Drosophila melanogaster: one gene and its partners. The protein of the gene in region 1 purifies or fractionates together with the protein of each later gene. This does not show direct contact. Each region holds a gene or a part of one and is shown on either strand. Other genes may lie near its edges.

What was found.
Region 2: the proteins of Zwilch (region 1) and Spindly purify together in Drosophila melanogaster (affinity purification with western blotting; one study listed by BioGRID). This does not show direct contact.
Region 3: the proteins of Zwilch (region 1) and cmet purify together in Drosophila melanogaster (affinity purification with mass spectrometry, with the first as the bait; one study listed by BioGRID). This does not show direct contact.

Annotation. Positions count from the first base shown.
Region 1 is NT_033777.3:31,210,396-31,215,389, reverse strand, and holds Zwilch (zwilch), read left to right. Parts: upstream 1-2,013; 5' UTR 2,014-2,100; coding exon 2,101-3,207; intron 3,208-3,264; coding exon 3,265-3,760; intron 3,761-3,821; coding exon 3,822-4,076; intron 4,077-4,137; coding exon 4,138-4,205; 3' UTR 4,206-4,424; downstream 4,425-4,994. Other genes in the region: CG15561 (uncharacterized protein), read left to right, coding at 1-582; CG1542 (uncharacterized protein), read right to left, coding at 803-1,576, 1,635-1,718, 1,781-1,846. UniProt on the Drosophila melanogaster protein: Essential component of the mitotic checkpoint, which prevents cells from prematurely exiting mitosis. Required for the assembly of the dynein-dynactin, Mad2 complexes and spindly/CG15415 onto kinetochores.
Region 2 is NT_033779.5:3,526,764-3,531,938, reverse strand, and holds Spindly (spindly), read left to right. Parts: upstream 1-1,621; 5' UTR 1,622-1,652; coding exon 1,653-2,171; intron 2,172-2,235; coding exon 2,236-2,401; intron 2,402-2,467; coding exon 2,468-2,683; intron 2,684-2,741; coding exon 2,742-2,883; intron 2,884-3,023; coding exon 3,024-3,122; intron 3,123-3,182; coding exon 3,183-4,386; 3' UTR 4,387-4,552; downstream 4,553-5,175. Other genes in the region: IFT57 (intraflagellar transport 57), read right to left, coding at 1-685, 740-1,036; CG8852 (uncharacterized protein), read right to left, coding at 4,739-5,175.
Region 3 is NT_033779.5:11,265,900-11,270,669, reverse strand, and holds the start of cmet (CENP-meta), read left to right. Parts: upstream 1-1,667; 5' UTR 1,668-1,823; coding exon 1,824-1,962; intron 1,963-2,037; coding exon 2,038-2,160; intron 2,161-2,217; coding exon 2,218-2,564; intron 2,565-2,617; coding exon 2,618-3,519; intron 3,520-3,623; coding exon 3,624-3,788; intron 3,789-4,112; coding exon 4,113-4,770. Other genes in the region: cana (CENP-ana), read right to left, coding at 26-372, 430-552, 628-766.

The DNA of each region.
Region 1 (4,994 bases):
GGAGCACGGCATGGCCTAAAGCTGAGCGGAAAGATCGCCCGCCTGGAGCAGCAGGAGCGCGAGATGCTGGAGAAGCTTCAGCGCAAGCTGAAGACTACGCCTGAAACCGAGCATCGAGCAGTGGAGTCAGTTGATGACAGTGTGGAGCAGTGTGATACGAAGGCAAAGAAAAAGAAAAAATCCATAGCGGAGGAGTTTTCCGAGGCATGTGAGGTTTCCCAACTGGAAGAGCCCATAAAATCCAAGAAAAAGAAGAAAGACAAGGCTGAGAAGGCAGGAAAGGAATCCCCAGCACATCAAACTCCAGAAGATCCCGTCAAGATCAAGAGGAAAAAAAATAAGACACGGGAGCCGGGAGAGGAAGACGGTGTGGAAGTCGAAGAGCCAGTGAAGATAAAAAAGAAGAAGGACAAGAGAGCGGATAGGCAAGCAGGGCTTGGAGCAACTGAAGGACTGCCCCAGGATGTTGAAACTGATGAACAAGTAAAGTCAAAAAAGAAGCGAAAAACGGCGGACTCTTCGGAGGAATCGGAAACTAGCACAAAACTAAAAAAGAAACGAAAGAACAAGGAGAACGTGTAATAGTTATAGTCCACTTTAGAATAAACGATGTTAGAAAAATGTAATTTATGAAAATTGCTCATGGAATTCTAAAATTCTATACGGAGTATTCCACATTTCGAAAGTAAGGCTGTGTGCACACAAAATGTTATGTATTTATGGGTCTAAAAAATCTATACAGGATTGGGGGCTTTATAAAACTAGAGTTTGGTCACCTAAATATAGTCGGCAGTCCCGGGGATTACTTTCTGCCCTTGGCCTTAATGCGTCGCGATTTGCCAAGCCGCTTGTTGACCGAAGCACCTGCCTTTACGCCCCGCTGGCGCCTGGAGGACTTGTCGCCATCCAATCCCGCGGAGGAGGACTTTGTGTTCCTCTTGAGGCCCTTCTTCTTGCCGCCGAAGCCGAACTTCTTGTTGCGCTTCTTGCGATTCTCGGCTGACTGCTTCTGCTTGGACTCAAGCGCCTTGGCGTCCTCCAGGAAGTCCAGGTTTTTCAGCTTGCCCTTGCGGAACTTCTTCAGTTTGTCCAGCATGTCCTTCTTCTCGGCTTCGCGTTGGACCTTGGTCTGTTTGGCCAGCATCTTGCCCATCTTGCGCTGCTCGCGGATCTGCTTGATGCGCTCGGATTTCGCCTGTCCTTGCTGTTTGGCCATCAGGTTGGCGCGCACCTTCTGCATGTGCTCGTCGGACTTGGCCATTTCAGCGAAGTAGTCATCGGGTCGACGAGTCTTTATGCCCAGCTCGTGAAGGCGGGGAATGGCCTCCAGAACAGCACTTTGCGCCTGTCGGTGGAAGAGCATCTCCCTCTTGAAGTCATTCAGGACGGGATCCTCCTCGGGCCGAATGTAGGGCAGCTTGGCGTTGCCCTTGAAGAGATTGGCCCGCTTCTGCTCGTGCTTCTCCAGCTGTACAGCGAGTTCCGGCGCCAGTGGAGCTAGTGTGTTGATCATGTCCAGGCGTTCCAGCCAAGGCAGTTGCATCTTGATAGCCTCTGTCTTGGCCAGCAGTTTGGTCTATGTGGGCAGGATTGGATTAGTCGATTCAAAAGCGGGCATCCAGCTAGCTACTTACCACATCGTTCACTTTGTCTCTCTGGCCATTGAATTCCACATTTAGGCCTGGTTTCAAGTCGCCTCGCTCAAATGCCGCTTGCAGCTGCAGGAAAAGAGTGGAGATTTTGGTATACGGGGTGTTCATTTCTTCGGTTCCTCACTTACCTCGGCATCTGAGTTATCCCCTGAGTCGTAGCCCGAGGCACTGTCCTCCATTTCAAAGTCCGACATGTCTGAATTAACTAAATTAAATCTGATCCAAATAAAAGAAAACAATTTCAACACGTGCGGGGATAAGAATTATCGATTGTTGCTGGCCTAAGTCTATCGGCTATCGATGTTGCAGTGTGACCTTCACGCGGCTTACTGCTAAAATTATTGAGGTGCACTAAAAAGCGAAGTGCTGTGTGACCGTTTAACCAATTCTCGCTTCGCTTTTCAAATACTGCCGCTTTTTGTTTCTGTTTTGCGAATTTGCTCCAAAAATGTCGGCTTCTGCGAACTTGGCAAACGTTTACGCGGAGCTAATGCGGCGGTGTGGCGAGTCATACACGATCACCTATGGAGCGCCACCCACCTACTTGGTGAGCATGGTGGGGGCTGCGGAAGCTGGCAAGAAGATTGTGCTGGTCTTTAAGGAGGATCGCAATGGAGCAGTGGCGAGACTCCGGACCACGCCCACCAGGGCAGCCCCAAAAAAAGAGGGCTCTGCGGACTTGGATCTGACGGGAAGTCCTTTGAAGGACGACTGCCTGGTGGACGCCATAGCCGACTTGTCCATCGACCTGCAGCTGGATCACTCGAATCCCTGGAAGCTGGAGGAGGAATATCAACGCGGAATACCCGTGGACAAGGCTAGGTCCATCGTGTGCTCCGAGTTCCTGCAGCTGGCCGAGGGACTCGGATCCGTGTGGTTTTTGTGCGACGGCAGTGATCTCGGGCAGACTCAGTTGCTCCAGTACGAGTTCAACCCTACGCACTTCTCCAGGGGAATACTTAGCTACCAGGGTGTGCGCCCTGCTTACTTAGTAACCTCGCAAGCCCTGGTGCGCCATCATGGCAAGACACCGGATGAAACTCTCATTGAAAATAGCTACCAGGTCAATCCCCACATGAGACTACGCTGCTCCTGGACCTCTAGTGCTGCACTTCCGCTCCTGGTGAACCTGAACGACTGCGATGTGGCTTTGAATCACACTTTTCGCGTGGGCGACTGCGGTCCTTTGACGCAGGACTTTATGAATCAGCTGCGCATTCTGGTCTACATACGCGAGGACATCGTCTCCTACCACACGGATGTCAAGCAGGGCGTCTCTCGGGATCCCACCTATCGTTGTGGCAGTGGCATTGACATGGACGAGCTGCGCGAGTCCATTAATCAGACAATGACAGATGTCTCTGGCCTTATAGGTCGGTATAGCATCAGCAATGCGGAGTTTGACATCGAAGATGTGGTGCAGAGGGCCAAGGTTCGCCAGCTCACGGATCTAACCGATAAGCTTTGGGAGCTGCTCAAGTGCTGCCACTCCTACAAGGATCTCAAAATTGCCTTTAGTATGCTCTTCCAATGTGCTGCACGGTGTAACATAGTAGTAAGTATGCTAATGCATGCAAACCACCACATATTATTCATGTTCCTCACCCCATAGAACACGCCTACTAACAAAAATCGACTTGCCAAGATTATCACCGAGTTGGCCAACCGTCGTCTGGCCATGCCTTGTTTAAGTGGGGCCGAGCCTCTGGAACTGCTTTTGGAAATTGGCCTGGAGAAGTTGTACAAGGACTACGAGTTTATCTACACCGAGAGCAAGATGTGCAGCACCAATCTGTTGAAGGATGACTCCAGCGGAGCGTCGATGGACGATGGTTCTCCCCAGAATCTGCCCCAGCTTCGAAAATCCCTGCACAATGCGGTCAGGGGTGATCCGACCCCTGGAGCTGGAATGCGAAAGACGCTGCTGCATCATCACGGCGCTGTCAATTCGCGGAGTACAAAATATGCCGGTAGCGACGATGATGCTGGGTTCAAAAACAGCCATTTCGACGAGCACGAGAGTACGGAGAGAATCTCAAAGTTGTTTCAGATTCACTGCACCTTAGAGCATCTCCTGATGATGCACATCCACTTAAATCTGGCAAATGGTAAGAAGGACAAAAAGCAGATCCTGGGATTTTTAGCTATAACTCCGTTTTTGACCTACAGTTTACAACGATGTCTGTTCTGAATTGCTGAAGAAACCGCCTAAATTAGTAGAATCCATCGATGATCAGCTAAGTGATGTTATGGACATTCGCCTGTCTGCCCACTATGTGAGGGATCACTTGGATGGCAAGGATCCCTACTCCCGGCACATTACCATGCGTTCGCACAACAAGTTCCGCGAACTAAAGACCACCTTCTATTTCAATTCGGAAAACATTTGTCCGCCGAACTTGGCTCAGTGTTTCCAGTGTGATGGTAAGTTTGCTTTTTGACTTGTTTATTTTCTATAGCTATGGTAATATATTTGACTTCGCAGACAAGGAGATGGTCAAGGAGCGCACATATCATTCCTGGATATATCACAAGATTCGCTCACTTAAGTAAGGCTTGCTTAGTAATACAAAATTGTACATTCTTTAAATTTAAGCATGGCTAAGAATGGTTTAAAATGGCCTTTTTCACATTGTAATAATTTATTTAATGGATATCTAGCAAGAATGTCCCTTAGCTGCATAATGTTTTGAGACACATTTAAAATGTTGAATTTTTTCAAACACTGCTTGTTGTATTATTAAATTAAATGCCTTTTGGTTATAACTTTTCAAACTTTTTTTCTATCGAACCTTTTTGTTCGGAATTTTAATTGTTTGAGCTTGTTGAACACGCTCTTCGACGCGTTTTCGCAAACCTCCAAAAAAGTCAGCAGTGCACACCGAAATCATGTTAAACGAACTCGTACAAGTTTTAAGCCGACCCAGAGGCTATTGCAGCTGCATTGGGAATCTTGAAAACCTGGCCGAAATCCGCTTCCGCCCTGCTCGCACTTTTATCACAGTGTTTTTGCCGGCCATATTCTATACAAAGGTCAGCATGACCAGCATTTGGCCATTCCTCCAGTGAAGTAATGCTGCAAATGAGGCGAAAAGAGTGTGTGCCCAATGGTGACGGCGCCATCGAGCATTCCCGATATGTTACAATCCAATTAGCCGGATGCGCCAGTTGGCCAACTAGAGTACTTGGCCCGTCGCTGATTGATTTGCAGTTTGTCAGACGTGCGTGGAACGCGCAGCGGTTCGGTCGTGTTTTTTCCAGCCCTGTTTTTCCCCTGAAAAGCGAACGGAATTTCAAGCAAGGATTTCCACGCGAGTGTCCTGGCCAGGGAATATAGCCACT
Region 2 (5,175 bases), on another chromosome or scaffold:
CTGCGGTCTGCTTCTCCATGTCCTCCTGCAACTGATTCTGGGCATATTGGATGGTGGACAGTTCAATGGATAGCTCCTTGAACTGCTGAATCAGTGGCTTGAGCTCATTGTTCAAATGTTTTTCGCGGCTTTCGATCTTTTCCAAGTCGAAAGTGAACTCGCTGTGCAGTTTTTTTAGTTGAGCCTCGGCGGTATCGGAGTTTTCCAATATGTTTGTTTTTAAGGTCTCCATCTGGCTGATGTGGGTCCTCCAGTCCCGGGCGTCTGCTTTGACGAACACTTTCAGTTGGGGCAGGACTCTTTCCAGTTCCAGATGCCACTCCTGATGATCGCTCATGCGAGCATCTAATTCAGGATTTCGTTCATCCAGGTTGACATCTCCATTGGATTTCTTTTGCGGACGATTCAACCAGTTCAGCTGCCGGAAATTGTGCGCCTCCAACTCCATGTCACTATCATCACTTAAGGCGGCTGCATTCTGCTCATCCTCCAGTTTCTCCAATATGATCTCTGCATTGTCCTCCAGATAATCGCCCAGGAACTCCTCCTCCTGGGCGATGTGCAGCTTTTGGTAGCCCACTTGGGCCACTTTGCAGGCTTGTGTGGAGAGAACTTCCAGGACCGACAGGCAGATGGGTCCAGCTCCACGAATCAGCTTATTGGGCTGGAAATCCACTGGGACATCCTACAATGAAAATATTGTAGTATTGTAGTAATACAACTTAGTCCTAGTACTCACAATCTCCCCAAGCAATTTAATGATATTGGCGGCCACAGTGTTTGGATCATCGTACTCCTGTGGCCGCTCCATATCCTTTCCGAGTTTCTTGCATAGCCACCAGCATATTAAAGTAAACATATAGAATTGCTCTCCGGGATTTGTGGCCTTTACGAAATAGAAACGCGACAGCGGTTTTAGTTTGAATTCCTTGAGCAAATGTTTTTCGTAGTTGAGTAACTTCAATTTTTCCAGTAAGTCATCGGATTGAAAGTTTTGTAGCTGCTGGGATTTTTCCTGTTCATCATCTTGCTGCATTTTACAATTTTTATTTGTTGTGTTCCTAAATAAACTAGTGTTAAGTGTGAGCCAGCTGTTTGGAAACAAAATTGTCGCCAAGGTAACGATATGTGTGTAAACACACCGAGCGCATGCGTCCTAGCTTATACCCTTTTATTTCTATTTTATTATACTATTTTTTTTAGTATCAGCTCATTTTTCATTCATTTAATTACTAGAATAAAGAAAAATTTTAATATTGCCTAATATTTAAAAATGCTTTGAATTACCGGAAGAGGGCGGCAACGAGTTGAATGTTAGCATGCGGTTAACATAGCTTGCCGTATAGAAGTTTGCTGTAAAAAGTTGCAAAGGCAAAAGTAATATTCTACTTAGAATAAAAGAAAGATTGTTTAGCTTAAAACTTAAAACTGAGTGAAATTTTAGTCAAAATTTTTAAAAATGCATTTCTCTTCCGGAAGATGGCGCTAACCGTTAATGTAACAACACTGTTAGTCTGCGCTTACCAGCACAAGTCTCCCTGTTATTTGTAATCGATCAACAATGCGAGCAATCCATACCGATTACTTTAGAGTCAAATATCGATTGACGGTTGAAAAATATAAAAAATTGGCGTCTTTTTTATGCAAACCAAATGTACAAAAACTTGGACCTTGACACCCTTAGCGTGGATGACATCGTGGAGGAGTACAAGCTGCTGCACGATCGCCACCAGCAGCTGAAAGACCAGAGCGAAAAGGATGCGCAAAGGATTTATGAGCTAAAAAGGAATCTGGACACTGCCCTCGCCGCCGAATCGTATTTGACCCAGGAACTGGAGCATCTGAGTAGCCAGCCTGTGGCCATCGCGTCTGGAGGGAATGGCCAGGAACTGGAGGAGCTGCGTCGAAAGTTCAAGACCCTGAAAGAGGAACAGGATGTCCTACAGCAAGACTACGACGCCAAGGTGGAGGAGACCAGATCACTGAAAGATAAGCTGACTGCCGCTGAAAAGAATCTGGCGGAAAAGTCCGCCTCCAGGTCAAATCAGCTTCACGATGACTTTTTTGCCCGTTTGAATGCCCTAGAACTCGAAAACTGTGAGCTGTTGCAAAAGCTGGCCGAGTATGAGGACTTGCGCATCGCAAACACTCTGGCGGTGGCTGAAAAAGAGGTAGAAATATTCCTCATAAGTATCTAAACAACTACATCATTTAAATACTATCCTGAATTCCCAGAAAACCATCGAATGTCTGCAAGATCGGGTGAGCTGCATGGAACAGAATCTGAACTGCAAGCGGGATGAACTGGAGGAAAAGCTGCAATTGCTGGAGAGTTGCCAGGAGCAACTGGTGGATGCCAATGCCAAGATAGCACTGCTTACCTCCGCCCCTGAAAACAATGGTAGTTAAGATTAACATGGCACCCTAAAATTTGTTTTAAAAAGGGCTTTATGCACTATTTTTATAGACCGCAAGGGCAACTCTCTGTTCGCTGAGGTGGACGACCAAAGGCAAGCGATGAAGCAGATCCTGGCGGCCCAGAAAAAAAGCTATCTGGATATGAAGAAGATCTTCACGGACAGCCAATTTGAGATCAGACGTCTCAAGCGGGAAAACGTGGCCATGCACACGGAGCTGCAGGCCTGTAGCACAATCTTTTGCAGTGCGGACAAGACCTATCAAAGTGAGTAATCCACATTCATTGGTCTGTAAAGAAGATTAATATAGGAGTATTCCCCCAGATAAGCTGAATGAGCGCATCCGGCAACTGATGACTGCCAACGACAGCCTAGAGCGGCAGCTTAATCTCTCCCAGGAGCGGCTGCGCCAGCTGGCCAGCGAGAAGTCGGTCACCTGGCTGGACTCGATGCTGGATTTCTGCAAGTATGAGTTGCCCCTCTTGGTCGACACCGCGCTGGCATCGCTCGGCAATAAGTTGCTGAGCCTCACCAGCTACGGCCTGTTCTTGCTGACCAGTTAGGTAGCCTCCACACCCCTAATTCCTAAAAATCATCCCAATTTAGACGCGAAACGGACGAGCTGAAGGCGCAGCTGCATAGCATGCGAATCCAGAAGGCCGGACTGGAGGAACGGATGCGATGCGTTCAGCAGGAAATGGCACGGTATATACACTATATTCCTTTTCAAAGCTATATTTATTTTATAATTATTTATATTTTCAGCTGGCGCTTTGAGTCCCTAAAATCCCGCTGTGTGCTCATTGATCGCGAAAATCTGCTGGCGGAGCATAAGATCGTTTTCAAGCCCATGCAGGCCATGGAGTTTAACATCAAGGAGGCGGAACTTAAAACTGCATTGCCCCGCATTGTCAGTGTAGCGGCACAATCTCCATCATCATCAGCTCAACTACATACACATCCAGAAACATCTTTGAAATCGGCTGCGGAAACCACAAGCAAGTCTTTTCCAACTGCAACGGAAATTATTGTTCTTGATGCGCCCTTAAAGCCTGCCATTAAAGAAGAGGTAGTGGAGCCACTTAGCCAAGAATTAAAACCAGCACTAAAAGACACATCCGTAAAAGTCGAACAGGAACTAGAGGTATCCGAAAGCAAGGCTTGTATAAAAAGAACACCTATTAAGACAATTATGGGTATGAAAATAAAACGAGAAATCGACTTAAACTTGGAACAGCAGGACGCGGTTGATATCAAAAAGGAGTTGGAAGCTCCAGAATTAATTCCAAAACCGCAGCTGAAAGGCACTCCAGTCAAAGCCAAAAACGATGGAGTAACACCTCAAATGAATATACAAGAAGATGAAAACGAAGAAACGGGTCTAAATTCCGTGGAAACCCCAGCCAAACCTTTGATGAAGGGTACCCCAGTTAAGCAGCGACTGGGAGGGATAAAGGTGAAGTCCAACGAAGAACTGCTGGGAGCAAGACTGCCTGGTACAGTAACGCCTGCTAAACCGCAGCGCAAAGGAACTCCTGTGAAGCTCATAAAGCTGGAAACGGAAACTGAAGACAGCAGCGATGAGGCGGCCAAGGAATCTCCCATCAAGCAAGATGGGACATTGAGTGTGGAAATTCTGGACAGTCCAACGCCACAAAAACCGCAGCGCAAAGGAACTCCTGTGAGGATTCCCGTCATCAAAGACTCGACCAACGAAAATATCCGCTCTATCCTCAGCAAAAAACGGCAAGTCTTCGCCGAAGATTCGCAAAAGGCTGTGAAGTTTAGCGCGAACGATCCCATTGTTCACAATTTGAGTCCGCTTGAGAGATGTCCAAATGGGGAAACCACCAAGGAAAATGACAAGCCAAAGGAAAGTGAAGACAACCAGGACGTAAAACCCACAATTAAGAAGCCAAACATCATACGGCGTATTGTTGTGAGCTCTCGTAAACCAATTATGAAATGATTGCATGAATTCCAATGGAAATTTTAAATCGAATTTAGACTTATAAAAACTTAACAAATAATAACAACGCAGGGCACAGCAAATCAGGGTGCAGAGACTTTATTCTTTACAAATACACTACGAACTAAAAAAAAACTTAGCAATAAAAACAAATCAACTCTTTATTAATACAGTTGAGCTTACTTAAACTACCCTAGGTGTAACCAGCAGTACCTTTGCTGTTGTGCGACCTTAAACTGTAAAAGAATAATCCATCCAGATTCGTGTTCTCTATTTACGTATTCAAAGACAACTGAAATTTACAAAGCCTAGAAATTATTAAGGAATTAAGTATATCAAAGATGGATTCTACCTAGGATATATCTCTCAGTTCATCCAGTTTTGGCATCTCCTCCACAAACGACAGATGATCGTAGATGGGAGCCGTAGGGCCGGTAGTCACGGCCAGCACCTCATCCGCATCCCCATTCTCATCCGCCTGCTCCTTGATCTCTGCGTACAGTTGATAGGGCAGCTCAGCTGGTAAGGACTCGTAGGTGACATGATGGGTCCTCGAGCAGGTGGATTCTCTGTGACCAGTGCAATTGCAAATCGAGGTACCTCCACTTACAGGAGTCTCGTATCCATCTGGCAATTCGGTTTCCACATCCACTGGGCAACTGGAACCGCCATTAGCAATGGGATAGCGCACTATGTCCACATGATCCACAAACCTCGGCCCACTGGATGATTTTTCGCCACCAAAACAGGGCAATCCCGAGGCGTAATAGGACAAGTGGAAGAGCCGCT
Region 3 (4,770 bases), on another chromosome or scaffold:
ATTAATACAAGAATCTAGCACTCACTATCCTGAAGATGGCGTGCGAACGACTGGACCGCTCGTTCATGTTGGTCTCGCCCACGACGCGCTCCTTGTTGCCCATGTAGAGCTGGCGCAGGAGGTCGTCCTCGCTGGTTACGATGGACTCCTTGCAGTTCACATTCACAATCCCATTGCCGGACTCATGGATCTTGAGGTCCTGATTCTTCTTGTTCAGCAGATCGTAGATCTTCTCGTTGTAGATCTCGATGTAGCCCACGCGCAGCAGAAAGTCCCGCTCCGTCTCACTGGAGATCTGTTGAAAGATCTCCTTGGCGGCTAGCACCATGACGCCCGGATTCTGTTCGTCGCCCATCATGGTGTACGTCTTGCCTGAAATGCATGCCCGGTTTTAGGTATACCGCCGCGTATATATAGCACAGTACCCACCCGACGACGTCTGGCCGTAGGCAAAAATAGTTCCGTTGGAGCCCTGCATGCAGGCGTGCACTATGTGCTTGGCCATCCGGTCGAACACCTCCTGGTTGCTGGCGCCCTCGTCGAACACATAGTCTGCCAAACGGAATGGAATGTAAATGAGATAAAGGTCTTGTAGATCAGGATACGCTCAACGCTCTAACCACTCACCGAAGACATAGGGCTCCGCATGGCTGTCCGCCAACTGGATGGAGCGGCCCTCCTTCACCTGCCAGAGTGAAGTGAGCCCGGGCTCGCAGGGACGCACCTTGATGCAGACCTGGATGGAGCTGGCGTTCTTCGTAGACATCTTTGCGACTTGTGGGAAACGTGTTTGACATGCACAATGAACAGACACAAACAGATTTTAACGTTTTATAAAAGCTAGTTTGATCGACATGTTAGTTTCTCTTTGTAAATTCGAACAAATACCGCTTCGGAAGCGAACCAGATCGAAATACGGAACCAGTAAATAGGCGCGAGCCAGTTCAATTTAAAAGTTTGAGGAGCTTTCGGCGAATATGAAAATATAATCCAATAGGCTTCGAACATAAAACTTTTTCCGAGCTTTTTCGTGATATATAATATAGATTATTATTATCTATATTTCCAAAATAGTAAAGACCGCTAAATTAAATGCTTACTTACAGACAGACAAAAGCTGAGGGGATTGTTTAATGCATACAGAAGAATACTGTCTGATATAAACATGAGATTTCATTGGAATAATAATCCCAGTTGTTCACTATTAAAAAAAATAGGAAAATTGAAAATTTGGAAAATATTATAGTGGTTATATTAGGGAGCTTAGTTATAATTTATTTCAAATATTTGTTTTGGAATCAAATACTTTCCACATTATATGTGTGCTATGAATAGAAGTTATGAATTAGTAGAAAAAATACGAACTTATATGAAATTTAAACCGTAGTTTTCGCATGTATTTAAGAGCTTGTTCTATTTTCTGTTTGACCTTAAAGTATTGAGTCATAGAACTTTGTTAGTTAGCATGCCCTACCAATAAGAACACAACGTCTTAGAATATATATATGCCGTAGCGACCCTTGATCAGGAATGTTAATGCAGCCCTGTGGGATAAGAACATAATGTGTTTCTGTTTTTATTTTTGCAGCCCTATTTGGAACTATGATAACAATCGATGAACCGATTTATCTATCGAGTCGTTAGCGCCACTCGAAGATATCGAAGCATATACATCCCTGATTTTGCAAAGCGGCATTTGTTCGAATTTAACGAGCAACAAAGATGTCGATCAATGTTTGTTTACTGTAAAACATTGAATTTTATGTTTGTTTATGAACTGCGTTCTGTTTATCATAAAGCATTGAGACCAAGAAGGCGCCAAGATGTCTGCGAAGAACGCCAGCTCCATCCAGGTCTGCATCAAGGTGCGTCCCTGCGAGCCCGGGCTCACTTCACTCTGGCAGGTGAAGGAGCGCCGCTCCATCCACTTGGCGGACAGCCATGCGGAGCCCTATGTCTTCGGTGAGTGGTTAGAGCGTTGAGCGTATCCTGATCCACAAGACCTTTATCTCATTTACATTCCATTCCGTTTGGCAGACTATGTGTTCGACGAGGGCGCCAGCAACCAGGAGGTGTTCGACCGGATGGCCAAGCACATAGTGCACGCCTGCATGCAGGGCTTCAACGGAACTATTTTTGCCTACGGCCAGACGTCGTCGGGTGGGTACTGTGCTATATATACGCGGCGGTATACCTAAAACCGGGCATGCATTTCAGGCAAGACGTACACCATGATGGGCGACGAACAGAATCCGGGCGTCATGGTGCTAGCCGCCAAGGAGATCTTTCAACAGATCTCCAGTGAGACGGAGCGGGACTTTCTGCTGCGCGTGGGCTACATCGAGATCTACAACGAGAAGATCTACGATCTGCTGAACAAGAAGAATCAGGACCTCAAGATCCATGAGTCCGGAAATGGGATTGTGAATGTGAACTGCGAGGAGTGCATCATAACCAGCGAGGTTGACCTCCTGCGCCTGCTATGCTTGGGCAATAAGGAGCGCACCGTGGGCGAGACGAACATGAACGAGCGGTCCAGCCGTTCGCATGCCATATTTAAGATAGTAAGTGCAGCCTGCTATTTTCTTTCCGATAATCTGCAACATGTATCCCACAGATCATCGAGTCCCGAAAGTCGGACCACAGCGATGACGACGCAGTGATTCAAAGCGTGTTGAACCTGGTGGATCTGGCTGGGTCAGAGCGGGCGGACCAAACGGGTGCTCGAGGAGCGCGCCTCAAAGAGGGCGGTCATATAAACAAGAGCTTACTTTTTCTCAGTAACGTTATCAAAAGTCTGTCGGAAAACGCGGACAATAGATTTACCAACTACCGCGATTCCAAGCTGACGCGCATTCTGCAGGCTTCTTTGGGCGGCAATGCATTCACATCCATCATTTGCACAATCAAACCATCGATCATGGAAGAGTCGCAGTCTACCCTTAGTTTCGCCACGCGAGCCAAGAAAATTCGCATTAAGCCCCAAGTCAACGAGATGGTATCTGACGCCACAATGATGAAGCGGCTGGAGCGAGAAATAAAGGTGCTTAAGGATAAGCTGGCCGAAGAAGAGCGCAAAAACGAGAACCAGCAAAAGGTAGAGCATCTGGAGAGACAAATAAAACACGACATGCACAAGATAATCTGTGGTCACTCCCTGAGCGACAAGGGTCAGCAGAAGCGTCGCCGTACTTGGTGTCCCACTGCATCGGGATCGCATTTGGAGCTAGCAGAGACCGGCACAACTGAAGATCGAATTGACCAATTTCCAAAGGTCTCACACCTTCCAAAACCAGTGTTTTTTCACACTTCAAATGCAGGCAAACGATGGGACAACATTCCAAAGACCATAAACATTTTGGGTTCCCTGGATATCGGTACCGAGAGCAACTCCATTAGTGAGGAATTTCTCCCGGCAGAATGCATTGATTTTGGCTCCCCTCGCCCAGATGTCCTCAAACCCATGTTGACCATCAGGCAACTGCCAGACCTGCCCCTCACTCCCAAGGGTCCCTTAACGTAAGTACTTCTGCAAGCTTTTTGATCATCCTCCATAACATTCATCACATAACAATCGCATCCACATACCCCGACCCGATCCCTGCACTTATTTGCCTGCACAGAACGGATAAAATCAAGAAGGAAATCCAGGACCTGCAAATGTTCACCAGCTTAGAGAAGCATTTTGAGGTGGAGTGCGAAGAGGTGCAGGGTTTAAAAGAAAAGCTGGCCGAGGTTACAGCACAGCGGGATAATTTAGAGCAAGAATCGTTAGCCGAAAAGGAGCGGTGAGTTAATGAGGTGTTTTCTGTCAAGGAATCTGTCGTCCAAAACATAGTGCCTGCATCGTAAAAAACGATGTAAACGTAACTCGACTTTTGTGCTTTAAGCAGTCAACCCAAAATCTAACATACCTATTCATACAAATCTGTAAAACTAGTGCAGCGATATTCTATTCCATTCTATAAAAACAAAACACTTAAGTATATGTTTCAGTTTTTAACAGTAAATTTTGTTTATAGAACACCACTCCACAATACCTGTTTGTTTGATTTATTTTATTATAGTTTTAGTGTTTAACAATAGTTTACTACTTGTGTATCTTCTTATAGTTATGATGCTCTGGAAAAGGAAGTAACCAGCCTAAGAGCGGATAATGAGGCTGCGAATTCAAAAATCAGCGAATTGGAAGAGAAACTGAGTACTCTAAAGCAGACTATGAGAATAATGGAAGTGGAAAATCAGGTGGCCGTGGGCCTCGAGTTTGAGTTTGAGGCTCACAAGAAATCATCGAAACTTCGCGTGGATGACTTACTCTCTGCCCTTTTAGAAAAGGAGTCGACTATAGAGAGTCTTCAAAAGTCCCTCGACAATTTAACCCGCGATGTCTTACGGAACAGCAAGGAGGGCCACATGCTTTCCATTGCCCCAGAGCAGGAAGACATCGCCGGCGACAGTATATGCAACAAGTGTGAGGAACTGGAGAAGCTGATTGCAGATTTAGAGTCCAAGAAAAATTCATGCGAGTGTGATCAGCTCCGGTTGGAAATCGTCTCTGTTCGCGACAAGTTAGAGAGCGTTGAATCTGCCTTTAACCTGGCAAGCTCGGAGATTATCCAAAAGGCGACTGATTGCGAGCGACTTTCGAAAGAGCTATCCACATCCCAGAATGCCTTTGGACAACTTCAGGAAAGGTACGACGCTCTGGACCAACAGTGGCAAGCTCAACAAGCGGGCATCACAACCCTACATGAAAAGCACGAGCACGTG